Linked DNA regions of Lepisosteus oculatus. The protein of the gene in region 1 purifies or fractionates together with the protein of each later gene. This does not show direct contact. Links are inferred from orthologs where the notes say so. Each region holds a gene or a part of one and is shown on either strand. Other genes may lie near its edges.

Region 1 (8,220 bases):
GATACGAGTTTGAGGGCACATCCCATTAGGACTTTCTGTTCTGTAAACTGCTACCAACAGGAACTACAACAGAGCACGTTTCAGCTTCTGAATGAATTTATCGAAGAGAATGGCATCGACTGGATAAAACGCATCAGAGTTTGTACAGACGGTGCTAGAGCAATGACAAGCCGACATAACGGTGTTGCACAATTTGAGAGGTTGCTTCAGAAATGAATGGACGCAATTTAACGTCCACCGCGAGACCTTTGCTGTAAAGAAAATGCCTGACGATTTAAAATCTCTAAGACTGTTGTGAATTGTATCAAGGCTCGAAAAATTAATTCACCTCTGCTTTGCTCGACTAAACAGGCTCACCCCTCTCATTGAAATGGTGCCTTTTTATTAGTTGTTGTTAGTTTTTTTTCTGTAAAACACTTTGAGAAGCCACCTTTAAAGGCGCTATATCAAATAAAGTTTATTATTATAATATTTATTATATGTATGTGTGAGTGTGTGTGCACGCGCGCTCATGTTGGTCATTGAGAATTTCTGGGGTTCCTATGAAATGATGACTTGTAGGTGGTAACTGGATGCTTTAGTTGGATTAGGGGTGGTACTTGGTCCAAAAAGTTTGAGAACCACTGCACTAATAAAAACACCCAAGAGAAGAGAGTAAGGTGCAAACGTAAGCAACACTGAAAAAGCTTTCTGTTCATTAGCTAATGATTTCAAAGGAGGAGTCTGGAATATTAAAAATTAAAGAAGATGGATATAACAGAGTGACCAAGAGCACAGGGACGGTGTGGTGGCTCTCTGGCTGGAAGGTTGCCAGTTCGTATCCCACGGCCGGCAGAGGAATCCTACTCCGTTGGGCCCCTGAGCAAGGCCCTTCACCCCAACTGCTCTAGGGGCGCTGTATAAATAGCTGACCCTGTGCTCTGACCCCAAGCTTCTCTCCCTGTCTGTGTCTCTCATGGAGAGCAAGCTGGGGTATGCGAAAAGAAATTCCTAATACAAGAATTGTATATAGCCAATAAAGCCATCTGATCTTACAAAAAACTCAGTTTTAAATCCTGCTAGGTTTGTTTGCCATTTCTCCTCTTCCAGTAGTGTGTGTTTCTACACGCCCCAAGGGGAGCACTGTGCTGAGGGTACTGGGTACTCACCGTGCCCTGTGGTCTACTGAGAAGCATGTGTGCCTGCACTACTTCCAGCATGTGTGAAGTGAACTCGTTCATGTCCTCCAGGGGCCTGACTTTGAAAGCCACCAAGCTCTTGTGGCCCTGAAGGAGAACAGGAAATCGCAAATAAAAACAAATACGGTTTTTGAAACTGGAAACTATACACTGGTATAGGATATCTCAGAAAAATTCAGGGGCTTACAAACACTGTCAGAGCTGTATATGTGTATGGCATATTAAAGATTTAAGAAGATGGAAATAACATAATGACCAAGATAACAAAAACCCTCAGTTTTAAATGCCTCTAGGTTTGTCCGCAGTTTGTCAGGACAACTGTCCAGGGCAGTGATCAGCACTGCGGCCTCGCAGGGCCCCTGGTTCAACTGCTGAGGTGCCATCAGTGTGGAGTTTTGTGTTCCCCCCGTGTCTGCATGAGATTTCCTTCAGGTGGCCTGTTTCCCGCCCGCAGTCCAATGACGCACTAGTTTGTTAATTGGCTTCTGGGAAAACTGGCTTTATTGTGAGTGTCTGCCCTGCAACACGCTGTCATCCCACGTGCCCGCTGCTAGTGGAGGGCTCCTGCTGCCTGCAACCCCCGACTGGGCGGATGGTAGAAAATGGATGGGCGGATGTAGCCAATGAAGAAGCGCGCTAGTTCCTTGTGGAGCACAGCTCTGTCTTGGTCGATCATGACAATAAAAGTGAACAGCGGGAAGGCCTTTTCTCCAGGCCAATCGGCAGAGCGTGGTGGAGTGCGGAAATTACCTGGAAAGCCCGAAGATGACCCGAAACTTTCACGTAGGTAGCAGGAGGAACCACGATGTTGTCGCTGCCCGCCTCCTGTGGGAGACCCGAAACAAACCACAGGGCATCACATTACACACAGGCAAAAGGAAACACTTAAGGTTCACAAAGATCTGCTCTTGGATGCCCCAGAATGATGCATTTTTAAATGAAATCCTCCGTTTCCAAATATCCATCATGGTAGTTCACTGATGCCTTTATCCAAGGCAGGTTACATAATCAAACGCTTTGGACAGAAAAAAAAGACTGTAAGAAAATAAAGATTTAAACTTCATAGATAGAGAAGAAGGTGTTACGGTGGTTTTTGATGGTGATCAATTGCATGTAGTGTTGGAGTTCGAGTTGGTGGCTGTATTGATATATGGACTCTTAAGATCAGTAATTTTAATTTTGTGTATCTGTTCTTGTATACTCTTTAATTGGGTACGTTAAAAGAAAGAGGAAAGTTGTTTATTTGTTCTCACGATTAGCTATATTGTACTTTTGTATATTTTTTTTAATTCCAGACTTAAAAGACAGAGATTCTTTTAACTCTTTGTTTTCTTTTTTTCTTTTTGTATACTCTGGATGATCTTGATGTTTTAAAAGAGAAAAAAAGAGCATTTAAGAGAAAATAAAGAGTCCATTATGGGGATTGGCGATTTGGAAGAAATAAAAAATAGTCAATACAAATGAGACAATTAAAAAATAATACAGGAATTCAAATATTCAAAAGTGCCGTCAATAACAAAAACAAAATAATCACAAAAAAAGAACAGTAGTAAGAACAGTACTACAAAACATCAGAAATTCTCACACCATATTGGATGCTAAGAATCTGCATTAGAAAATTCCATCCAGTTACATGAAAGATGTAATTCCAGGCAAAAGCACTTACATCGGTGTCCACCCACTGCCTGACGTCCAAGGGCGGGCCTGTCATATCGTCCACTTTGTACAGGATGTTGGTCGGAGCTTTCTCTGCGTTACGGACAATCCCCACTAATGTGACCTAGAAAACACCCAGATGGTGAACCTGCAGATCAAAATCAGCCCAGCGTTTCCCATCAGTGCAACACATGGTCCTTCACCCTCCACCCTCACAGCAAGCCTTACATTAAAGATTGCAATAAGTAATCTAAACCCTTGGTTTAACAGACTTCAGTTGTAATAAACTAAACCCGCTAAAGAAGAATTTCTCTGTAAAATTATAAATATCAGACTTTCCCCACATTAACAATGAAATACACGAATAAGAAAAAAAAAAAGAAAAAAAATACTACCCATCAGTCTCAACGATGCCCTGTAGGGGTAAGCCTATTGTTTATGATGGGTATTGTTTGTGCTTTGCTTGCTTTAGCGAATTTTATTGTCTATTTATGACACGATAAAAAATAGGTTATATAATACAAAAAAAGCACAAAAAGAATTTTCATTGACCGCGTTTGACTTGGAATCGTTCCAAGTCAAACCACCCCGAAAGCATATATATAGTATGCATATTTTTTTTCCCTCATATAATAGTGTGTTTTTAGGCAGAACAAAAACATCAACCAAGGGGTTACTGCACCAAAAGAAACGACACTCAAACGCAGCTTTTGCAGGGGACCTGATAACACCCTTAACGAGGAGCTTAACCCAAGGCAGGGCCTGGTGGGAAGCCACCCAGGTGAGCCGTAGCGGAACCTGCCCTTACCTGGGAGACCTCCACCTCGCCCACCTTGAAGACGTCCTCTGCCTGGGAGGAGGACAGCAGCTGGGAGACGGTGCAGGGGACGATCTGCTGTGTCCTCGCTCTCTGCGGCACGAGCAGAAAGAACAGGCGCCACATCAGTCCGACACATCGCAGCGGGCCAACCACACTGCCAATTAATTCAGTTAATTTAAACGAGTCAACTTAATTGGGAGCCCAAGTGGCTCAACCAGTAAAGGTGCTTGCTCCACACCCCTCGTCCCCCTGGTTGGCCTGCGTCACGGGTTCAAGCCGACTCCGGCCGTGACCAGGATGTCCCAAGTGGCCGTGCCCAACGGGAGAAGTGTCGCCAAGAGCAGGGGTGGGATGAGCCCCCCAGGGCCCCCCCCCCAGCACTGTGTTCGGTGGGTACAGGATGAACAGCTGGCCAGTCTCCGTTCACTTCACCAATGTGCACAGCAAGGCAAAGTGCAAATCTGCCGAGTCACAAGAACATTTCTGCTCCTGTGGCATGAGCCCCCGTCTTTGACTTCTACCTCAATGGAGATCAGACAGCGCATGCCAACGGGGCAGTGGCGGGTATGGGTTCCGTTTCTGCCTTCTTATTCCGGGTGCGCTTCCGGAGAATCGGTGTACTCACCGATTTCTTCTCTCCTTGCGAGGGGGCAGGAGATCCGAAGCCCCCGGGGGACTGTGTGTAACCCCCCGCCATGCTGGAGTCGCCATAACCTGCGACAGAGACCCGTTTACAGAGAGAAACCCAGCAAGTGGACCAGAAGGGTCCTGACGGCCTCACACTGCGGTGTCCACGCTCACCGGCCCTACCAGCTCTCCCTGGGAAACACCAGATCGTCTAAAGCCTAGACAGTGAGCAAGTGACCAGAGAGCTGTGGACCAGGAGTGCCCAACTCTGGTGCAGTCACTGCAGGGCTCCTCCCAGCTGAGCCAGATTGGGACACTTTAACAGATTGTCCCAGTTCTTACACCCATAATGAGATGTATAAAGCCTGCTGGACAGTGGGTACCGGCACCAGGACTGGACAGTCCTGAGCTGGACTGTGAGGCCCCAGTGGAAGAGCTCGTCCCTTCAAAGTATTGCAACTGAAACTAAACTTGCATCTAAACTCAATTCTGTACTGCAAATATCATTAAACGCCTAAATATTACCTTAAAGACCTTAAAAACAGTGCTGTCGTTTTACTTACTGGACGCATAAATCTTGTCAGTACTATGGGTACCTGTAATTAGATGCTGTAACGAGCTTTCAGAACAGGTCTTGTTACTACTACTGTATTTACGTACATAAGCAAGAACAGTTCTGACCCATACCTGTGACTCACATTCAACTACCAAGTTCACGGTAATAATTACATTTCTCTTTGGATTTTCAAACTTATCTCGAAGTATTTGGTTAGCAAATCGAGTGGAAACGGATAACGGTCTTCTTTCAGTGTTTTGTAGCATCCTGTATAATAAAGCTTAAGTGAAAATTAAAAGATAAACCGCTTTACATTTTTTAGGTAAATCAAACTAAATTTCAAATTCTTGCTCATCAAAACAAACCGCGGTCCAACATGCAGCTTAATCCAGAAATCAGATGTTAAAACAAGCGTCAGCGCTTGTTTTACAACGAACAAGGTTAACACCTCTTACCTTGGTTCCACATGATTAGAATATATTAAAACAATACTGAGAACAACAAAAAAAAATACTATTAGTAGCTCAAAAGTTTTGGTTATATCAGACACCTGGAGCAGAATTCTTCCTCTACGTTTTAAGCGCGCCACAACACCAGACACAAAGCTCACAGCACATGCGCCATAAACTCCCGCGAACTCCTTTGCCCAATCAGCGACGACAGCGCTCTCTGACGTCAGCCCAGGACACTATTTTGCCAACACTTGCCTTCATTTCTCACGGAAGTATGCAGGGGTACGTAGAACAGAGCGGGTAGCCATACTTACTGAGGGAAAGACGGCAGGCGAAATGAAAAGTGGTGTTCTTAGGCAAAATAATTTATTTAGCTTTTAGGCTCGATAATTGTTAGTGCATATTTCTCCAGACCAAAGTCTGGCAGGACCAACTTTAAAAAAAAAATGTTTTTCATAAGTATATTACTGGACTTCCCAGAGCTTACACTAGAGGACACTGCTTACATACATTGGACGGAAAATCCAAGAGAATCCGATACTGTGAGCTGAGTACAGGCGTAGACTGTCGGCCTGAATTATTACGATGGTAATAATTCCTTCCATTTATAGAGCGCTTTTCTGGACACTTCACTCAAGGTGTTTTCCAGGTAGTGGGGACTCCCCTCCACCAATGTGTATCCTCATCTAGATGATGCGACACCAGCCAGAGTGCACCAGTTCGCTCCCCACACACCAGCTCTCAGTGGGGAGGAGAACAGTGATGCAGTTCATAGATGGGGATTAATAGGAGGCCATGATTGGTAAGGGCCAATGGGAAATTTGGCCAGGACACTGAGGTAACACCCCTACTCTTTTCGAGAAACACTCTTTTTAATGACCACAGAGAGCCAGGACCACAGTTTTACATCTCATCTGAAAAGAAGGCACCTTTTTTACAGTATAGTGTCCCCGTCACTATACTGGGACATTAGGACCCACACAGACCGCAGGGTGAGCGCCCCCTGCTGACCCTACTTACACCTCTTCCAGCAGCAACCTTAGTTTTTTGCAGGAGGTCTCCCATCCAGGTAATTTAATCTCTTCTGCTGGAAAACCCTTCACTGACCCTCATGTATCAATGATACGTTTGCCTCTTTAGGAATATCAGTACAATAAATCTGAAGAAAAGCAAAACTAATCAGTTCTCAGTATTCACAACTGAGGTCAACGTTTTTTCAATTAAACTCAAAGTTTTTTTGAGTAAAATGTATTTAAAAGAGGTTTGTTATGCTGTTGTAGAGAACATCTACTCGAATCCAAGTATACATTTTTAACATGTTATTTCAATTTATTTGATCATCTCTTCAATCATACCGATTTTTAAACACACTTACAATGTTTCGGGAGTGTGTTTCTGTAGTACACATCTGTGCTATCTGTTTAATGTAACAATAATATGACAATAATTCATTCTGTCATTTGGTTAACTGCAGACATATTTAAAGATGTATTTTTTTCAAGAAATTTCCTTCTTCATTAGGAGTCAGAGCTTCTAATTCTCAGTTTTTCTTTCATTTTGTTGCAAATGGTGACTGGCCTTTTATGAACACTGAACTCTGGGTCTGTGTCACAGTGTTTACCAATTCCCTCAATCCTCAGTGGATTTTTGGCATCTTTGGGAAGCCTGAGGGCTGCAGAAAACATCTGGGAAACATCTGCGATTCATTACAGCTCAAGGGCTTCTGCAAATGCCATGGGAACGAGCTATTTTTAAAAATTGCATTCAGGAGAATGGAATAGTTGTTATTGAGTGTGTTTCCTTTTGGCTCAATTGGCAAGGTAAGATGAGAAAATGGCTTTCATTGCTTGTAGTGGACTTTAATTCTTCTGACTAAGCAAATTCAAGTTATCTTCTCTTGCACTTTTCATTAATTACAGGTGTGTACAATTTGGCTTGCTAAAATGAAAATTATATTTGTATATAACTATCAAAAGCTAAAGAAAAAGAGCTGTCCGTGTTTCTCATTCTTCAGAGATAGTAGCTCTTTAACGGAAAGCCAAATGTGGCCTAGAATGTGGTTTTCCTATATTTGTTAAGGAATGCTTGAAGATAGATGTTAATGCTGTACTAAACTAACCGTAGCCATTTTATCTAATCATTCTTTGAAATACAAATAGGTTTAAATATAAGATTTTGTTCTGAAAAATACAAGGTCTTAATGAATCCAAAATCATTCATCACCTATTTTTCTAGTTTTTCTCAGTTCTGTATAATGACCAAGATTTGCATTTGAGCGTTTGTGGCTGTTGCTTTAATGAACAGAGACTTTCTCATCTATAATAAGTCAGCAGTCTGTAATAACTAACCTTTCTTTAACTCAAGAACACTCCATTTGAGCGCCAACAGTGGAGGCTCTGTAACCGAAAGAAGCTTTGGAGTATTAAAATGAAAACACAGGAAATTAGGAGTCAGAAATAAAGGATGCAAAGGAGCACAGGTCACGTTTCTATAGGAAATGTGGAGATCTGCTAAAATTAGCTGAGACTGGAGGTTTGGCTTGGTATGTGAGGGAGTATAGTATGACTTTGTCCGGAGGAAATGGAAAATTAATAATGAAACGTGGACAAAAAGCTTTTCCAATCAGCTGCTTCCACTAAAGGGAGAAAGAAAGGGCCTGAGTCCGGCCACTTTTGTGTACAACTGCAGCCCTCGCACACAAAGAAGCTAAGATGCAGAGCAGTATGATCTTTAACTATTAAATGGAGTTGAGTCTTAAAATGAATTATAAGTCATTTCTATAGATATACAGCCTTGTCTAGGAGTCATCAGTACATTACTTAGTGTTTGTTTTAAGTATGTTTTACATAAAAACACAACTGAACTGTGAGCAATCAAACTGTTTCTTAATTAAGTAATTTAGAAATCATTCATCCATTTTGTAACCACTTT
Region 2 (8,220 bases), on another chromosome or scaffold:
GAAAATATTTCATATCCAACACGGAGTTTGCAACAAAGCATCTAGGCGATACTGCAACCATACGGCAAATCATTGATTTGTGATTATTTTCTTCAAAATCTCTGGTCCCAATGTGGTCCGACACATCAGTGTGCAAAGTTGACAAGTCTTAATAATTAAACAATCAACATATTTTAGATTTTCCTATTTAGTTGTTGTGGATAGTTACAGTAACGTATCTTACCTTTAGAAGTCCTCAGTGTGAGTGTTCAGGTTTTGAAGACGATATTAAATTTAAAAAAGTAAACAATTTTGTGATTTTACAAAATGCGACAATATGAAAGGTGCTTTAAATCAAACCAAAAGACAGTCCGAAACTTTTACTACTTATGATAATAAACCCAAGCCAGTTTACATGTTTTGTTTGCATTTGCAAAATTGCTATCTGGCGCAAAGCTTGACACAGGAAACGAAGAAGAAAAAAAATAAGATGTACCAAAGATTAACAAGCTTCCATTATCAAAATTAACCATGATAGTGGATTAAAAAGGTTCAAAAGGTTATCAAGTACATCTACCAAAACAAGAACTTAAGGAAAACAAATAAAACATTACTCCTGGGACATTTTTTTAATAAGGAAGTAAAAAGTTAGGGGGATTCTGTTGTGAGGATCAAAATATATGAAAACATATATTTTAACAACATCTTTAAAAACTCATTATCTATGGATACACTTATTATATTTTTTTCCAACTTGACTTACCAAATGATTGGTTGGTCCTTCTCTATCCTCTTTCTTTATTTTTTCTCTTAAAATGCTTTTAGATGTAAAGCACGGTTCTTCTGGAAAAGTGAAGAAAAACATAATGCTGATATAGCCTTTTATTTTATTGTTAGAGAATATACAGTTTGAAGCTTGAAGAAGCTACCTGAAATGAATGAAAGGAAAGCAATACAAAATGCAAACAATGATAGGCTAAAAGTGTAAAATACACATAAAGGGATGTTATGTTATACTACTCTTTCAAAGTACTGTGTATTTTGGTCACCACCATGCAAAACATTTTGCTGCTCTGGAATCTGGAAAATGATATCTTAGGAAAGGGCTCCTTCAAGAAACAGCTGAACGAGATCCCTGGATCAATAAATTACTATTAATCATGGTAAATTAGTTGAATGTCCTACTCTTATATGTAGCCATTTTTCTGTTCAGAGAAGAACTGCATATTTTCACTCACACTGAGAAAGACAGCCCAGTGGACTTCAGAAAGAACAGTGAAACACAAACATTGGGACATGAATGGAGACTGATGGGAAGCTCATTTAAAACTAAGAACAGGAGGCACGTCTCTACACAAAGGATTGCGGGAGTATGGAAAAATCTACCTAGCCACAGCATTCTTTGAGAAACTTCTGGCTGAGATCTACTAAAAAACAATCAAACTAATGGACAAATGGCTTCCTCTTCTTTGTGAATTTTACGTTCTAAAACGTTTGAAGATGTAAAACTTCCGGTAACTATTCTATCACTCCAGGAATAACCCAGTGGAGTCAGCTGTACAGACCAGTGGATGAATATAAAATTATTTATAAAACTGTAAATAAAAGAATGCCAATAATTTCTTATAATTTACTGTTAAACTGACCCGCACGCCAGAAACACAATGGATAATCGGGGCAAAAAAAACTACCCAGGAAAGAGTTGCAAACTACAAAAAAGACTAAATTTAAGACCGGGAGTTACATACTAGTTAAACAAAACTGACATTTTAAGGAACGCGCAGGATCCGAGAACCCTGAAGGGGACTGGAAAAGTAGCAGTTGCCTAATAAAAAAGTGAATCATCACCTGGCTTTCCATGGCCAGTACACTGTTTAATGTTCTATAAAGGACATACTAATACAGTATCTTACAATTACGGTTGTGCTAACTATACCTTCAGTGTGTTGTTCTTGTAGGTGGAGCTCAACGTGCTCCTGCAGAATGTAACAATCGGCGCAGACGAGGGAACACATTGGACATGGGTACATCCTCTCTTTATAACAATAAGAATAAAAAAAGATTAAAATACAAAGGACACATAGTTCTGAGCAAAATAGACAACATGCCTAGCTGCTAATGCAAATTGTCTGCAAAAAGGGAAACGGAAAGACCAACTTCTTGCACTTATGCAGTCATAAACTTGAAGAAGATTCCACGCTAAGAACCTACTACAGCTTTGAAGTTCAGAGACACCAAAGTGAACAATACTGTCAATACTGTTCGGTCCTATTGTGCTACAGGTTTAGAGTACTGGATCAAAACTCCACAAAAAGCACTGAATGGGAAGAACTCTGTTAAATATCTACTTATCTATCCGATGCATCCCTAAATGCAATCTGCGTCACACTGAACGTAACTCTGTTAGCTCCTAATTCCAGGAAATGCAATCCAGACGACAAGTGTTTGCAGCAGAGTAACAAACACATACAGTAACAAACCCGGTGCCTGCTGGGAACTTCAAATCTAGAATAATGAATAAATATTCTAGAAAAAATCTAGAAGAAATAGTATTATTTATGGCACTCTTCTTATTCGTGCAAGGCCTAGCTGTTAATAAATAACTTGCAGGGTTTTTTTTTAATTTCACACTTATTTTTCCTTCTTTGATCCATAAGGAAAATGCCAGATACAGATGGTTAGGAAAGGAACTACATGAGAGACAAGCGTTATTACAACGCTGCTATACAATACCTACCTTTCTTGGGTGAATGAATGCGTTTTTGTTTTGCCTTTACTTGTGGTCCTGAGCATTCCTTCGCCACATGCTCCCGTTCGGATGTACATGCTGCGTGACTCACAACTCTTTCTGAAGCAGCCATCCCAGTTTCTCTCGGCGTTTGGGGGACTTTTGTGGATTCTCCTTGATCTTGTATTTTTAATCCATTTTCCTTCCATGTAAAAGAATCCTTTAGCACGTGTGCAGCATCCTGAGACATACCAACTACATGCTTTGAGTTCTGGGGACCTTCAGGATCGGATACTTCCATAGTGTTGTCCGTGTGGCCAGAGGTGGATGCTTCTACCACCTCTATATCCAAACCTGATTTAACCTCTTTCCGAGCGGAGGTCTCTGATAGCTCAGTGTTATTCTCTGAGTGGGCTATATCAATATGAAATAGCAGTTCATCGTAGGTCACACCTGACAGACAGCAGATCGGGCACCTAATTTCATTTTCCAAATGGCTGAGGAGGAGGTGAGTCTTCATGTCAGCTTCAGACAGCCCCTCCTCACCACAGATTTCACAAGCAAACATGATGTCAGCCTTCAATTATATCTGAAATAAAAAATAAAGCTGCGTGATCAGATCTTGCCACAGAGGTACACAATGACAAACATCTGACATCAACCTCTAATAACAAAAATAATTTACAAAAACTATAAATCCGTTAATAAAAAGCAAACAATGTAAGTGTCGTGCATTATTACACAAACCCTGACTGAACAGAACAAAAAGAAAATAAAGATTGAAAGATGACAGTATTTTAAACTTTTATAACATTATACCACGATGGGTAATATTGGTTGGTTTTAAACACTGTAATATATATTCCACAGTTCTGGCATAATTTACAAGTAGTAAGAAATCTGTGGAAAGGACACAATACGTAGAAAAGGTTAGTTCAAAATGAATTGTCATTTGTGCAGCATAAAACACGACTTTCTGTAGGCCTAGGTGTTTGTATGGACATCATTTACATATTCTTGACACTGTAAAAAGCTCTAAAAGGGCAGTAAAATGTTAAATAATACAGTCACAGCTTAGAAATCATATCAAGAGATGTTACAGAACCTTAAAATGGTACAAAGCACAAGATGTCATTTACATTAAGTGTACAGCTTTGATAACCAAATAACAAAAAAGGATATTGCTACATTGGAATCTCTCCAGAGAAGTTAAACTTAACAAATTCCTGGGTTGAAGTAATGATCTGATCTGCACTGACAGGTTTAAAGAGCTTGACTTTTTTTGTTGCTGTTCTGTTGCTGGACGTCTTCCAAATAAAAACACACAGCAGAGGACACCAGTGGAAATGCATCGTGAATTGACATGAGCTGGAGTCCGTATCTTAATAATACTATTCCCAATAGCAATATTATTTTCAGACTTTTATCCAAAGCAACTTACAGATGCTTGACAAAAGGCGTTTAACAGGAAAGGGTTTATGAAATTAAGAAATGGATTACGTATGCAAAATACAAAATACGTACGAGACTCAAGGTGCAGTTGGACCAGAGACTGCGAGGTTTCATGGTCGTTTACATAAGCACACAGTGTATATTTCGGTCCTCATCCAAAAACTAATTGAGTGTTATTCTGTTACATAAATTGTATACGTTTCAGTTAAAAAATATTGACACATGTAATCCGAAATAAGTACTTATCAGTAACTATGAATTAAAGAATAGAAAGTTTCAACAAATTCGCTCCTGTACCCGGACACCACAACATACTGTACATTGAAAATATGATGTTTTTAAAAGAAATCTCTTAAAGCTGAATCAAAACAAAACAAACAAAACAGGATTGTTGTCATTCACCGCGGCGTGAATGACAACAGTCCTGAAGAACCAAGGCCAAGAGCTAACCGGGAATAACAATGCATAACAAAGATAAAAAGAATATAAATAATTAACACTATTCCGCGCTTTTCTCCGGAAAGGTAGAGAAGCATAACAACTTAAAATCATCTTTAAAGACACCGAAAGCTCTGAAAACGGATAAAAACAGGGCAAGAAATGTGCGCTTTAATTTGCCTCGCTTCCTCACCCTTCTTTCTCGTATTTCTACCGCTTTGATCGCTGCCGCTGTACACTCACTATTGCAGCAACAACACTTGCGTTTTCATTTTCCATTCAGCCGACTCCTCTCTTCCGCACGTGAATCCCACCCGCCCGGGCAAGGCCGCGAGCCAATTGAGTGCAAATACGTCACGTCATTGGCCGTGGCCATTTGAGAACATGAAGGTGACGTAATGCGGAATCTCGACGCTTGGGAAGAAATAGACACATTAACCCTCTCTGTGCACTGTTCGTACAAAACACGCTCTGTAGCATGCTTACACTTTTATGTTATGAGTAAACCGTGCTCCGAGAGTATTCCCTGTGTTGGGAATAAGTGCTAAAGTACTCCGTCTACCTCCTGTGTGGTCAGGACGGGACTCTGGCGACTCAATGTCCCTGTGTGTAATGCTGAAGACGGAGGCATCCTAACCCAACAAGTCTATACCTCATACTTCTTTCATACTATTTCAAAATCTCGCATTGAAGTATCCGTAACGCGCGGAGATGCTTTTACTAAATCTCTGATCGGGTCAGGCCTTTAAATTATGTTCTGCTTTTATTATAACACAGTGTCCCTGTGCAATGCAGGCGTTTTCGTCTGTCAGAAAAACCTGCAGCAGTCGTGGATCCTGGATCTTACCGAGCTCCAGCGCTGATTGGCCACAATCTCCTGCTGACGGACATAAGGGGGCTGCTGGGAGTCCTCTGTGCAATTGACAGAGGTGCGCCATATTGCGCTGAACTGTGTTAGCAATCCTGGTGAGGCAGTGCTCGGAAATAGAGCTGCGCAATTACTAAGCACGCAAGGCAGTACATGGGTAAGCGCTTCCTAACCCTTACACGGTCATCGTAGTCACTTGTTTGACAAGCGGAGCATGCCGTGCTCTTTAAGGTACACGGGGGAGGCCAGGCGCCAGGCTGAAGGAGTTTCAGCTGTTTATTTACAGTTAAGGTGGCTTTCGTGGGAGGGGATGTAACTAGAAAATCTGTAGTGCCTGCAGTTCTGAGCTCCGGTGTTAGGTGGCCAGTTGGCGGAGGGTGTAGGCCCCAGAGGCTGGCAACTGGCTCGTAACCAGGCGTTTGGGGTCACTGGAAGTCCTAGACAGGCTGTGGAAGAAGATCTAAAGGTTGGCTGCGGTCTTGTATTTTACCTTGGTTTTGTTTAGTGTCTTGTGATACTCGTGAGCACGCCTGGTGCAGCCCACCTGAAGACACAGGTAACCGTGGTCTTTAAATGTGTTTGCCATTTGTCCTGGAATCTTGCCGACTTGCGTTTTTTTTAAATAAATTGTACGCGGTATGTAATTGTCTCTTTAGGTTAATGTTGAATATCGTAATTTGTACCTATTATGATCTTATCTGGTAACGTCGCCTAGCCTTAGTTCGTACCTGTGATGGGTCTGGTTTGAAGTGTATCGTAAATGTACAGTGACCGTATGAACAAATAGTTGATGGGCGATGACGGGTCAGGCAGTGATGTTTTTCGAATAAAATAATTGGCATTGCTCTAAGCGTAGGTTCGGGTTTGTGTTCTCCGCCGAGTTAACGTTATTTGGCTGACAGTTTTGGTCCATTTGTACCCATTTATATAGCTGGGCATGGGCAGGAAACAGTTCGAGTTAATGATCAGTGCGCAACATCGGTGCCTCTCCCGGAATTTGAACCCCTCAAACTACTAATAACGCTGTTTCACATTTCTACCCTTTCCAGTTCTTCTACCCAACAGTTCTCCTGTTGTTGACTGACGACACCCCTGTCATAAATTCTGCAAATGTCGCTAGCTGTTGCTGAAGGTCACTTAAGTTTAAAATGTCACTATTTTTGGTGCATTAAAGCTGTCACTTAATATTTTCACTTTGTCTATGATCTACGCTTGTAATATCTAGACTGCATTCTTCGAAGCTGAAATGGCTTTATGTATTTCAGTCAACTTGGGTATACTTTGAGTAAAATGGGGGGGAAATTACCGGTAGTGGTTTCCCAAGGTAAAAGAAAGTGAAGGTCCCAGAGTCGCTTGTGTACCAACTTGTTAAAGAATGTTCAACGCCCCCCCCCACACACACACACACCAAAAAAAACGAATGAAAGGTCTAAAAGGGAATCTTTTTTGTGGAGACTGAAATGGGATATCACTGTATTACTGCAATATGAATTGGTAACAATTCCACCATAGAGGTCTTCCCTGTAGTTTTGGTTTTTACACACATTTTACAAACGGATGTACATAGCGTTCATTGATGCCAGAATTTCAGCAAGCTTTGGCAGAGTCTTGTGTATACATGGTCTAATGCAGACTCAGTCACTGGTGGCACGTCTCTGCCACCTTCCCAGAAAACCAGCAGCGTGTCCTTTTTCGTTTGTGTTGATGCTTGCTGCATATTGTCTCTTTCATTTTCCCTGTGGCTCCCTCCTGTTTTTTTTTAACTATCTGGTGAGAAGCCATGACTCCTAATTGTTACAAGTGAGGAAGTCGTTTGTTTCTTCGCTTTCGTGATCTGTGATAACGTCAGATGTGTTGGATCAGTTTGAGTCGGGTGAATCATGTTTTGGTTTTGTAACTTTTACTTTTTACAGGATGGGGTAGTTAGTCCCACCTCGAAGTGCGATGGAGGGGCTGCCTCCTTAAAGCGTTCGACCTAAATTGATTTCTGTTAGGGTCGTCTCTCTTAGCCTTTGAGGATCCCTCCTCTGTCCACAAGGCAGTGGATCCCTGTTGGTCCGTGGGCCCTTATTCTGTATTTTTGGGCCACACTGCTGTTATGGTGGGCTCCCCCATCCGCCCCATGGGGGACACACTCTCTAGGGATTACAGGGTCCTCAAAAGATGGATAAACGATGTTGAAGACCTCAGAAAGCTGAGAGTGAGAGGATGGCGAAGACTGGTATGGGGCCGAGATGCGTGGAGGAGGCCAGGGCTCTACAAGGGCCGTAGCGCCATGCGGCTAGTTAGTTAGAGTCATGTGTTACAGTGGAAAGATGAATGGTGGTAAAGACAGTAATGATACATCTCAAACTTTCTCTTATTAATGTATGGGAAATTCGTTAAATTACCTTTTATTTCTGCTGTGTATGTACACTTGATTTACTTGTTACGTGCCCTGGGTGCTATCTGTGTGGAGCTTTGTATGGGTTTCCTCCAGGCACTCTGGTTTTCTCCCACAGTCCAAAGACACTGGTAGGTTAATTGGCTTCTGGGAAAGACTGGTCCTGGTGTGCGTGTGTGCGTGCGTGTCCCGTGATGAACTAGAGTCCCACCCGGGGTGTTCCCCGCCTTGCGCCCATTGCTTCCCGGGATAGACTCCACCTCCCCTGTCTCCCTGAATTGGGAGAAGTGCTTAGTAAGTGTAGGGATGTGTTGTATGTGACTGAAAGAAAGAAGTGAGGTCTATTATGAGGTTTACAAGTCTAATGCTGGT
Region 3 (8,220 bases), on another chromosome or scaffold:
GGTTTATTCCATGCTGAAAAGAGAAGAAAGGAAACACAATGTTTCTGCTGTGGAGCCTTCTTCAGGTGTGAGAGCCATTAGTTTCCTCAAAATTTGTTGAAGAAGTCTCTGAGTATTACTGTGGGTGGTGTCTGAGTCAAAGTTGAAGGTGTTCAGACTAAATCCTTTAGGAATGATATTATAACGACAACACCTGTGAAAGAACAGGAGGTAGTTAGAAAGCCTGGTCTTGAAGCAGATCACTGGGAAGAGATGGAATGCTGGTTTTGGTGAGATAAGGGGGCAAGGAGCCCAGGGAGGAGGGGAGGAATAATGAAGAGATCTGAAAAAGATTTAGCGGAAAGCTAAGTGGGTTGAAGAAGTTCAAGTAGGTGGCTGCGTCAGCATGCGTAGGCTGCAAAGGAACAGGTAAAGGTGTATTCCATGCTAAAAAGATAAGAAAAGAAACACAATGTTTCGGCTGTGGAGCCTTCGTCAGGTGTGAGAGCATCTTCACCATCATCTTCAGGTCCTCTTACACCTGAAAAAGGCTCCGCAGCCGAAACGTTGTGTTCTCTTTTCAGCATGGTATAAACCTTTACTTGTTCCTTAGTTAAGCCAGAATACTGTGATCTTACACAATGGAGCTCAATTCTGATCTTTCAATTTGACTGTACTGTGTAACCTGCTGAAGAGAGAGTATTTATCCAAACAACCGCTGCAAACCTTTCAAGCAATTTCTCAAGGAGGTGCAATTGCTGTTGAAATCCAGACATCTCTGGGGTTTTTTTCTGAATCACCTTTCTTTTCTTTATATGTGATTGAGCTAAGCCCCTGTTAAAGAACACCACAGTAAATTTAACATGAGCAAGTGTTTCAGTTCTAGACCTTACCTTGAGCTGAACTTTCACAAATGCGCTAACCCCAACGTAGAACTTGCCATTGATGAGGTCCACAAAATCTAAAGAAGTTGCAGAACAGAAAAACCAATTAAAAAACTCTCGAGGGCAAATGTTGAAAAAAGGCAGAGATTAAAATTTAAGGTAGGTCTATGTTGCACATTTAACTTCAGGCTTACATTAACTGAGGTTACATTTAACCAATCATGAGTGCAATATGATCTAAACAATTATTTTACAGTATTTCTTTTGCTTTTTACTCTACTTTTACTCTACTTGTACAGTTTGTTTTACTTTATTATTATTTTAACTACTTAGATTTGTGTTTGCCATGTTAACTAAGCTAACCCACAGATAGCTCTTCAATAGCGTGTGGTAGGACGCATACTGTTCATTTAATTTTAAGCATATTAATATTATAAACCTCAGAAAAGAAGCATTATTCACTAGTACGCCTTGCATTATTTCAGAGAAGCTTTTTTTTTTGCAGGATCAGGTAATTTGCATGTCACTCTCAAAAGGCAACAACATCATTACTTAGAACAGACTCAAGAAGATACAAATCAATAATTTAGATAAGTCTAAACTGTAAAACATGCTCCTGTAACAGAGCTCAGTGACACTTAACATGCGGAGTTGTAATTATTGCATTATATTAAGCTGTCCGCCTTCCCAGTGTTAAAAGCAACCATACAACTAACCTATCTTTTGGCAATTTACAGATGTAGTTTTTTGGTTCTGATTAAATAAGAATATATAAACAATCTTGTCCATTTAAAGACACATATAACACATATACGGTACTTTCATGCAGGGATTTCCTTCTTCCAAATGTATCTGTTTTGCGTGCGGGTAAAAAACAAAGCTTTGAACCCAGGTCTCCAGGAAACAGGACTGATGGCCTCAGCTCACATCAGGGCAATTGGGAATTTCTTAAGTATGAATACTCTAAATCACATCAGAAAGGCTCAACATTTGTAGCATACCAATATTCTGCTGAGAGATGCTGTGGGACCATCCGTTATAACCAAACATCTCATTGGCCAGACTTATAACCTTGTGGCCTTCAATGTAACACACCTGTAACAAGAAATGAAAAAAAAATAGCCAGATTTCCCTTCTAATGAAGTCCTGGAAATCTAAAGGCAAATGTGTTTGTTTAATAACATCACAAGGCTGAATTTTAGCAGTTTGTTTTCTATGAGGTTCCAAAAAAGGCAAATCTTAGTATTTTCATCATCACTTTATTAACCCTTTACAATTTCTTGCATGAGGAATGTGTCTTTTCGCAGACCCCAGCTTGCTCTCCATGAAACACCCAGACAGGGAGAGAAGCTGGGGGTCAGAGCACAGGGTCAGCTATTGTACGGCCCCCCTGGAGCAGTTGGGGTGAAGGGCCTTGCTCAGGGGCCCAATGGAGTAGGATTCCTCTGCCGGCCGCAGGATTTGAACCGGTAACCTTCCAGCCACAGGCGCAGATCCTGAGCCACAGAGCTTTCTCAACTTTGTTGTACAGTACAGCACAACATATGTGCTTCTAGGGCATAGGTTTTCTTGCAGTAAAGCATTTTTATTGTTCAGTCGTGTGTCGGCCAGGTTGTATGTTAGCTTTTAAAAATAGCTAAAAAAAAATTCTTAGAAAATGTTCTAAAAACAACAAGAACCTCGTTCGTGTTAAATCAGCTGTCAGAAGGCTCCAGGGCTGAAACGTTGTGTTTTCTCCCTTCTCGTTTTTCAGCATGGAATAAACCTATTACTTTTTCCTATGTTCCTTTTAAGACTTTTAATGGGCTGCACGCAGAATACATGCAACCTTGCACATCTAGGCCCAAGCTAGACGAAGCCTACAAAGCATCGTATCTAATGCTTGCTTTTCACAGAAACATACAGTATATGAACTTCGAGACACATGTAACATACAGTATATGAACTTCCACCCTGATTCCATCTAAACCCCCTTCATTCGGTGTTTGTGCCACTTGAACTCCAGCTTTTAGGAATAACATTTAACTGTCTACAGTTCTATCTATATATAGGCATTCTGCTTTAACACAATTTAACCTTTTTTCATACTACCAGGCTTCTTGGCCTGGTGCAGCTTTTATGACAACTCATGGAGTCCATGAGTTACTAAGAACTAGAAGAACAACAGGGACAAAATGACCCTCTCTCATCTCTGAAACCTCTGTATTTTTAACGTATGATGTGGTACAGATAGCCTTGGCTCTGTCAATTTTTATGTTTGTTATGCAGTATGTAGTAAAGCAAAAAGAGAGTGAAATGATTCTGGAGACGAGAGCACAGCACGTCAAAATTGCACCCTGCTCCAGTACATGAAAGCAAAAAACGTACCTTTTGTCCCCCTCCAGCCTGTCTGGTACTAATGTATTCTGGTCCCAGCTTCTGTCGCAATGCATTCTGGACAGCTTGGTATTCCTCTGCAGTGTACTGGTACTGGAGAGATCAAAAACACGCAGAGCTGACGTCCTCGTCTCCAGCAGAAATAAAACAACACAGTGGGACATTTCCCTAGGCTTCACAGAAGATGTGTTTTTGGAGTAATGTGTAAACCATCCATCCATTTTGTTACCTCTTCTTTCAATACAGGGTTGCTGGCGAGCCAGAGCCTATCCTGGCAAGCATTGGGCACAAAGGCTACACTCAGACTGAACGCCAGCTCACTGCAGGGCTCACACACACTCACACCAGGGCCAATGTTCGAAGAAACCAATTAATCCACCAGTAAGATGTCTCTGGACTGCGGGAGGAAACCAGAGCACCCAGTGGAAAAGCATGCAAAATAGGGGTTTACATACAAACTCCTCACAGACAGCACCCAGAACAGGCAGCAATGCTAACCACTGAACACTTTTTTTTAATCATCCAACACCCGCCTTCATACCGGGGTATACGACAGCAATAATTTAATCATTAGGACAATATAACACGCGGAGTCTCGGCAAAAGTGCTTAAATTGTGTTGACGGACCTGTCCGAAATACATGGAGTTAGTGTTTGTGCTTCTGCAACCGCTGTGAGCCGTGTTATCGTGCGTCATGTCCTCTCCGTCCTCCAGGGTTTCATTTTATGCACGCTTAAACGAGATAATTCAGTAATAAAACACGAGTAATCAAACCAGCAGTGAGGGTTAAATTAAAAAAAAAAGAAAACACCTAAAATATGCATTTCATCAATCCAATCATTTTCCATCATCTTTAAATTTTGAGGTATATTGATCCACAAACACAAGCTTGGAAAGGGTCTTTCTCGTTGCAACTTACTAAAATGTCAAATCTTGTGCAGATCTGTGCACGTTCAACTCTTTTGGCAGGATAACTCACGCCTAAAACAAGATGCGCACTGCTGACAACGTAAAATCTACATTTAAAGGCGATGACTTTTAACTAAAAAAAAATGCTGGACTTCATGCAAGATATCAATGCAATGTTTTATCGTCACTGATGCACGCATTCCTTTATCTCCCAAGAAATCAGCGTATGTGGTTAAAAATAAAATATACGAGGAGTCTAAAATACTAAATATGCAGATAAACCCGAAAACTCTTACTACGGCAGCACCAGCTCTTGACTAGTCAAAAGTAAACTTTTTCATAACTTCCCGGCAGACATGACAGTTTCCTGTGAGGGTTGCATGCTGGGATCCAGAGCGATCACAGCATTTCATTTACCGCCGCCATATTTGTACAGGCATAGAGGAATTTCTCATTTACACAGATATTGTGCTGTATATTCGCCTTCCCATCTAAAAATTTAATTAGAATTTGCAAATTAACTTTATAAAATACACTTTACTCTTTTAACATATTATTTTTTTTCTTTAATCAGTAAACTGTCTAAAGAATCATACCTGATATATGATCTACACTCACACATGCCAATGGTCCTCTTATAAAATCATATGAGCAAAGCTCTGCCACTTTCCTAACACTGGCAACTGATAGAAACTTCTTGCAGGTCTCAGTGACTTTCATATGGAAGTTGTCAATGTATCATCTGAACTAGGGGTACATTTAAACAATTTAGAAAGTATGTAGCATTGGTCTGCTCTCTACAGTATCCCAGGGACACTTTTGGCTGAACATGAGCCTTTCCTTTTGTATCCCAGTAGAACTAGCTTGACCACCCAGATACAGTACCAATGACTTCCAACTTTTGCACGAGGAAAGTATTCTTGGTAATACATCCAGTTGATCTATTCTGAGTTAATAACCGATTGATTGAAGTTTGCTGGCAGTCACTATTTTAAATCATCAGGGCATTGAAGAGTTGGAATCTTTTCCTATATTCTGAAAACTGTTGATCTGAGATCTCTGCATTATTTTGATAAGTAGTAAAAAAACAAATGTTCTGTACTGGTTTTAATAGGGTTAATGTCAGGGTTAAATTTTTCACTCAATATCATATTTATGTACAAATTGTGGATCTGACCATAATTAAAAACAGGGTTATGTTCCATGTTGTGGCCTGTGCCTATTGACTTTGGCTCTGAGTCACTGGTGAGTGGATGATGCCAGCTAAGATTCAAATTTAAAGTTCGAAATTTTCACAAGACTACAGAGGCTGTGGACAGTATTAGACTGGTCCCAGAGATTGCTGTGGCAGGCCAACAGTGATGAGCAAAGTAGTTTTCGCTGACCTGCCATTAGAGCTAATCGAGGTCTCTATTGTTGGTATATTGTAAGTTCACATGAGGTGCATTGTTTGATTAATAGGATAATTGGTGAAGGGCTGAGAGCCAAATATCCACGTGGGGTTGATTTAGTTTGGTTTAGTATACAGTATAATGGGAGTCAAATGGGTTTGCTTGAGAGTAAGTCTTTAGTGGTGATCCAAGCTTATGCTTTTTGTTCTTCAGGATGAAGTCTTCCAGCATGTTGTTTTTGCTGGCTGTTGTGGTTTCCGTATGCTCAGACTAAGCTAGTAGGAAGATCATTCAGATAGGTTCTGAGGTGTCAAGCCATGTAGATCCACCAGTTTAGAGGCCTGGCACAACAGTATGTGTGATGGCACAACGTTGTGTAAATTGAATTAGGGTTGTTGAGATCTCTTCTCTTTTGACTTGTTGCAACGTTTTAGAATCCAGGGGAGTTTAAGGTGGCATTTTAGCAAACTTTTACATTTTTATATTTGAAAATTGGTGTTATACCAGGTCCCCAGCTGCTACTTCATCTTTTGAAAGTAGTCTTCCTCATGCTTCTGACAAAGCCAGTAGTGGAACAAAGTTGAGAGTTTTACTTTTGCTCATTTACTTTTGTTTTTGAAGCCCTGGCCTTAAACTCATAGTGTAGAAGTATTTTCCAAGTAGTCTATGAAAGTAAGACAAAGGAAGATGGGACAAATTAGCACAAAGAAACACAGGAGATTAGAAAATTAGTAGGAGAATCAAGGAATAGACACAGATGCCCATTAAATACACAGAAGAAGAAGGTTTTGAGCTTGGATTTGAATGGTGACTCATATCATTCAGGATGGCATTCCAGAGCTTCTGGGCAGAATAAGAGCTGGCCTTGTCACCCATAGAGTGTAAATGAGCTTTTGGGACAAGCAGCAGACCAGATGAAAGAAGGTTATTATGAGGTGTGGAGTTGGAAAATAATTCAGATTGGTTCTCAGGTGCCGAGCCATATAAATGAGCATGAGGATTCTGAAGTCCACACAAAATCTGAAGTCTATCAAAGGTTTCTTCGTGGATCCTGAAGTAAATGTTTTCTGTTCATCCAGGCTTATGCTATTTATGTGATGATGAACTAAAATGTTCATGAGAAGCCAAGAATCAAAAACCTTGGTAATCTTGGAAACCATGGGCTCAGTTTTTTGAAAAAAAAAAAATGCAATACTCCTCCAACCTACTGTAAGACATTAGAATATAGTGCATACATACTGCAGGTAGAGCTATTTTAACACTTTTCTTTAAGTCATTTATAGAAAGTGACTTAATATATTGTCTCACCTGTTGGTTTAGCAACATCAGTACCTTTAACTGGCTGGGGAATTTTATTAAATTAAGTAGCGAGATAATGGGGCTAAATCAAATCCAGTTATACATCCTCTGCAACTGAAAGGTTGTAAAGAAGGCCAAGAGCTTTATGAAGTGCGTCTCATCTCCTCCCTTATGCATTTACAGTACTCCCATCTGAGAGACACCCCAGATGTAAAAGCCACAGAATCAGGAAGTTGTTCATCCTCGCTGCAATTCAATTCAAGGTGCTTTATTAGCATGACCGATGGGTACAATCAGTGTTGCCAAAGCAAATAAAAATAATAAAATTAACATGCAACGAAACAAAAAATAAAAGTAAAATAAAATCTACAGACATATTAAAGGCATTTACAACAGAGACATATCATAAAATTTACATATATTGTAAACATATGGAGCATTACTGGGAGACAGACTCACTGTTCCTCAGGCTGTGACAGGAGATCACATATTGGGCTGCCAGTTCAACTGAGTTCCCTCCTCCCTCTCCCAGTAGAATATATCACTCTCAAACAATCAAGTAACTCTCTTCTCTCTTATCTCCTATAACACTATTGTTTTCTGTTTTGTCTTCCTTGTTCTATTGAATTGTACCATAAAACAATTTGGGCCAGAGGATATTAAATTGAAAGTAAAAGATATTGCCATTGCAGCACTGTAGTCAAATCTCAAATCTGCCACCAGAGGGCATTCAAATCCTATTGATAAAGCCCATTCTAAACCTTTCAGGCCAAAAATAGCTCTTGGGAACTGAGGAAACCAATTCACTCACGTACAGAAACTGGTATTGAAACAAACTTTTGTTGTTACTTAACGCATTGTATTTTTTTGTATATTGTTACAAACAGGGGGAAATAACAGAGAAAATCAGGAATTGAACAAGTGACTAAGTGTAAAATAATCATAAGCCCCTACTTGTAAATAGTTTTTCCAAGGACATACCTGAGCGGTTGCTATGATTAGAGACATGTGTCCCAGAGGTCTAATGCCCTAACCACCCCCCAAAAAAACCCAGACTGTTACCAAGTATTAGAATCCTTATATAATAATAAAAAGAATAATTGCTTACACTTATATAGCGCTTTTTTGGACACACCACTCAAAGCGGTTTACAGGTAATGGGGACTCCCCTCCACCACCACCAATGTGCAGCATCCACCTGAAAAGCTCACCACACATCAGCTATCAGTGGGGAGGAGAGCAGAGTGATGAAGCCAGTTCATAGATGGGGATTATTAGGAGGCCATGATTGATAAGGGCCAATGGGAAATTTGGCCAGGACGCCGGGGTTACACCTTTACTCTTTGCGAGAAACGCCCTGGGATTTTTAATGACCACAGAGA

Evidence for each region.
Region 2: the proteins of rpa2 (region 1) and zufsp purify together in Homo sapiens (affinity purification with western blotting; 3 studies listed by BioGRID, with this or other methods). This does not show direct contact. The link is inferred for Lepisosteus oculatus from reciprocal best matches to the Homo sapiens genes RPA2 and ZUP1.
Region 3: the proteins of rpa2 (region 1) and rad52 purify together in Homo sapiens (affinity purification with western blotting; 3 studies listed by BioGRID and IntAct, with this or other methods). This does not show direct contact. The link is inferred for Lepisosteus oculatus from reciprocal best matches to the Homo sapiens genes RPA2 and RAD52.

Annotation. Positions count from the first base shown.
Region 1 is NC_090706.1:4,813,633-4,821,852, forward strand, and holds the start of rpa2 (replication protein A 32 kDa subunit), read right to left. Parts: upstream 5,454-8,220; 5' UTR 5,306-5,453; coding exon 5,293-5,305; intron 4,369-5,292; coding exon 4,280-4,368; intron 3,745-4,279; coding exon 3,643-3,744; intron 2,959-3,642; coding exon 2,845-2,958; intron 2,004-2,844; coding exon 1,929-2,003; intron 1,266-1,928; coding exon 1,149-1,265; intron 1-1,148. UniProt on the Homo sapiens protein: As part of the heterotrimeric replication protein A complex (RPA/RP-A), binds and stabilizes single-stranded DNA intermediates that form during DNA replication or upon DNA stress.
Region 2 is NC_090697.1:32,626,566-32,634,785, forward strand, and holds the start of zufsp (zinc finger-containing ubiquitin peptidase 1), read right to left. Parts: upstream 5,495-8,220; 5' UTR 5,445-5,494; intron 4,952-5,444; exon of another isoform or gene 4,791-4,951; intron 3,297-4,790; 5' UTR 3,276-3,296; coding exon 2,717-3,275; intron 2,015-2,716; coding exon 1,916-2,014; intron 823-1,915; coding exon 743-822; intron 1-742. Other genes in the region: kpna5 (importin subunit alpha-6), read left to right, coding at 5,619-5,622. UniProt on the Homo sapiens protein: Deubiquitinase with endodeubiquitinase activity that specifically interacts with and cleaves 'Lys-63'-linked long polyubiquitin chains. Shows only weak activity against 'Lys-11' and 'Lys-48'-linked chains.
Region 3 is NC_090702.1:4,913,040-4,921,259, reverse strand, and holds the start of rad52 (DNA repair protein RAD52 homolog), read right to left. Parts: upstream 4,529-8,220; 5' UTR 4,445-4,528; intron 4,439-4,444; exon of another isoform or gene 4,159-4,438; intron 3,972-4,158; 5' UTR 3,936-3,971; coding exon 3,867-3,935; intron 3,333-3,866; coding exon 3,231-3,332; intron 1,959-3,230; coding exon 1,865-1,958; intron 941-1,864; coding exon 873-940; intron 1-872. UniProt on the Homo sapiens protein: Involved in double-stranded break repair. Plays a central role in genetic recombination and DNA repair by promoting the annealing of complementary single-stranded DNA and by stimulation of the RAD51 recombinase.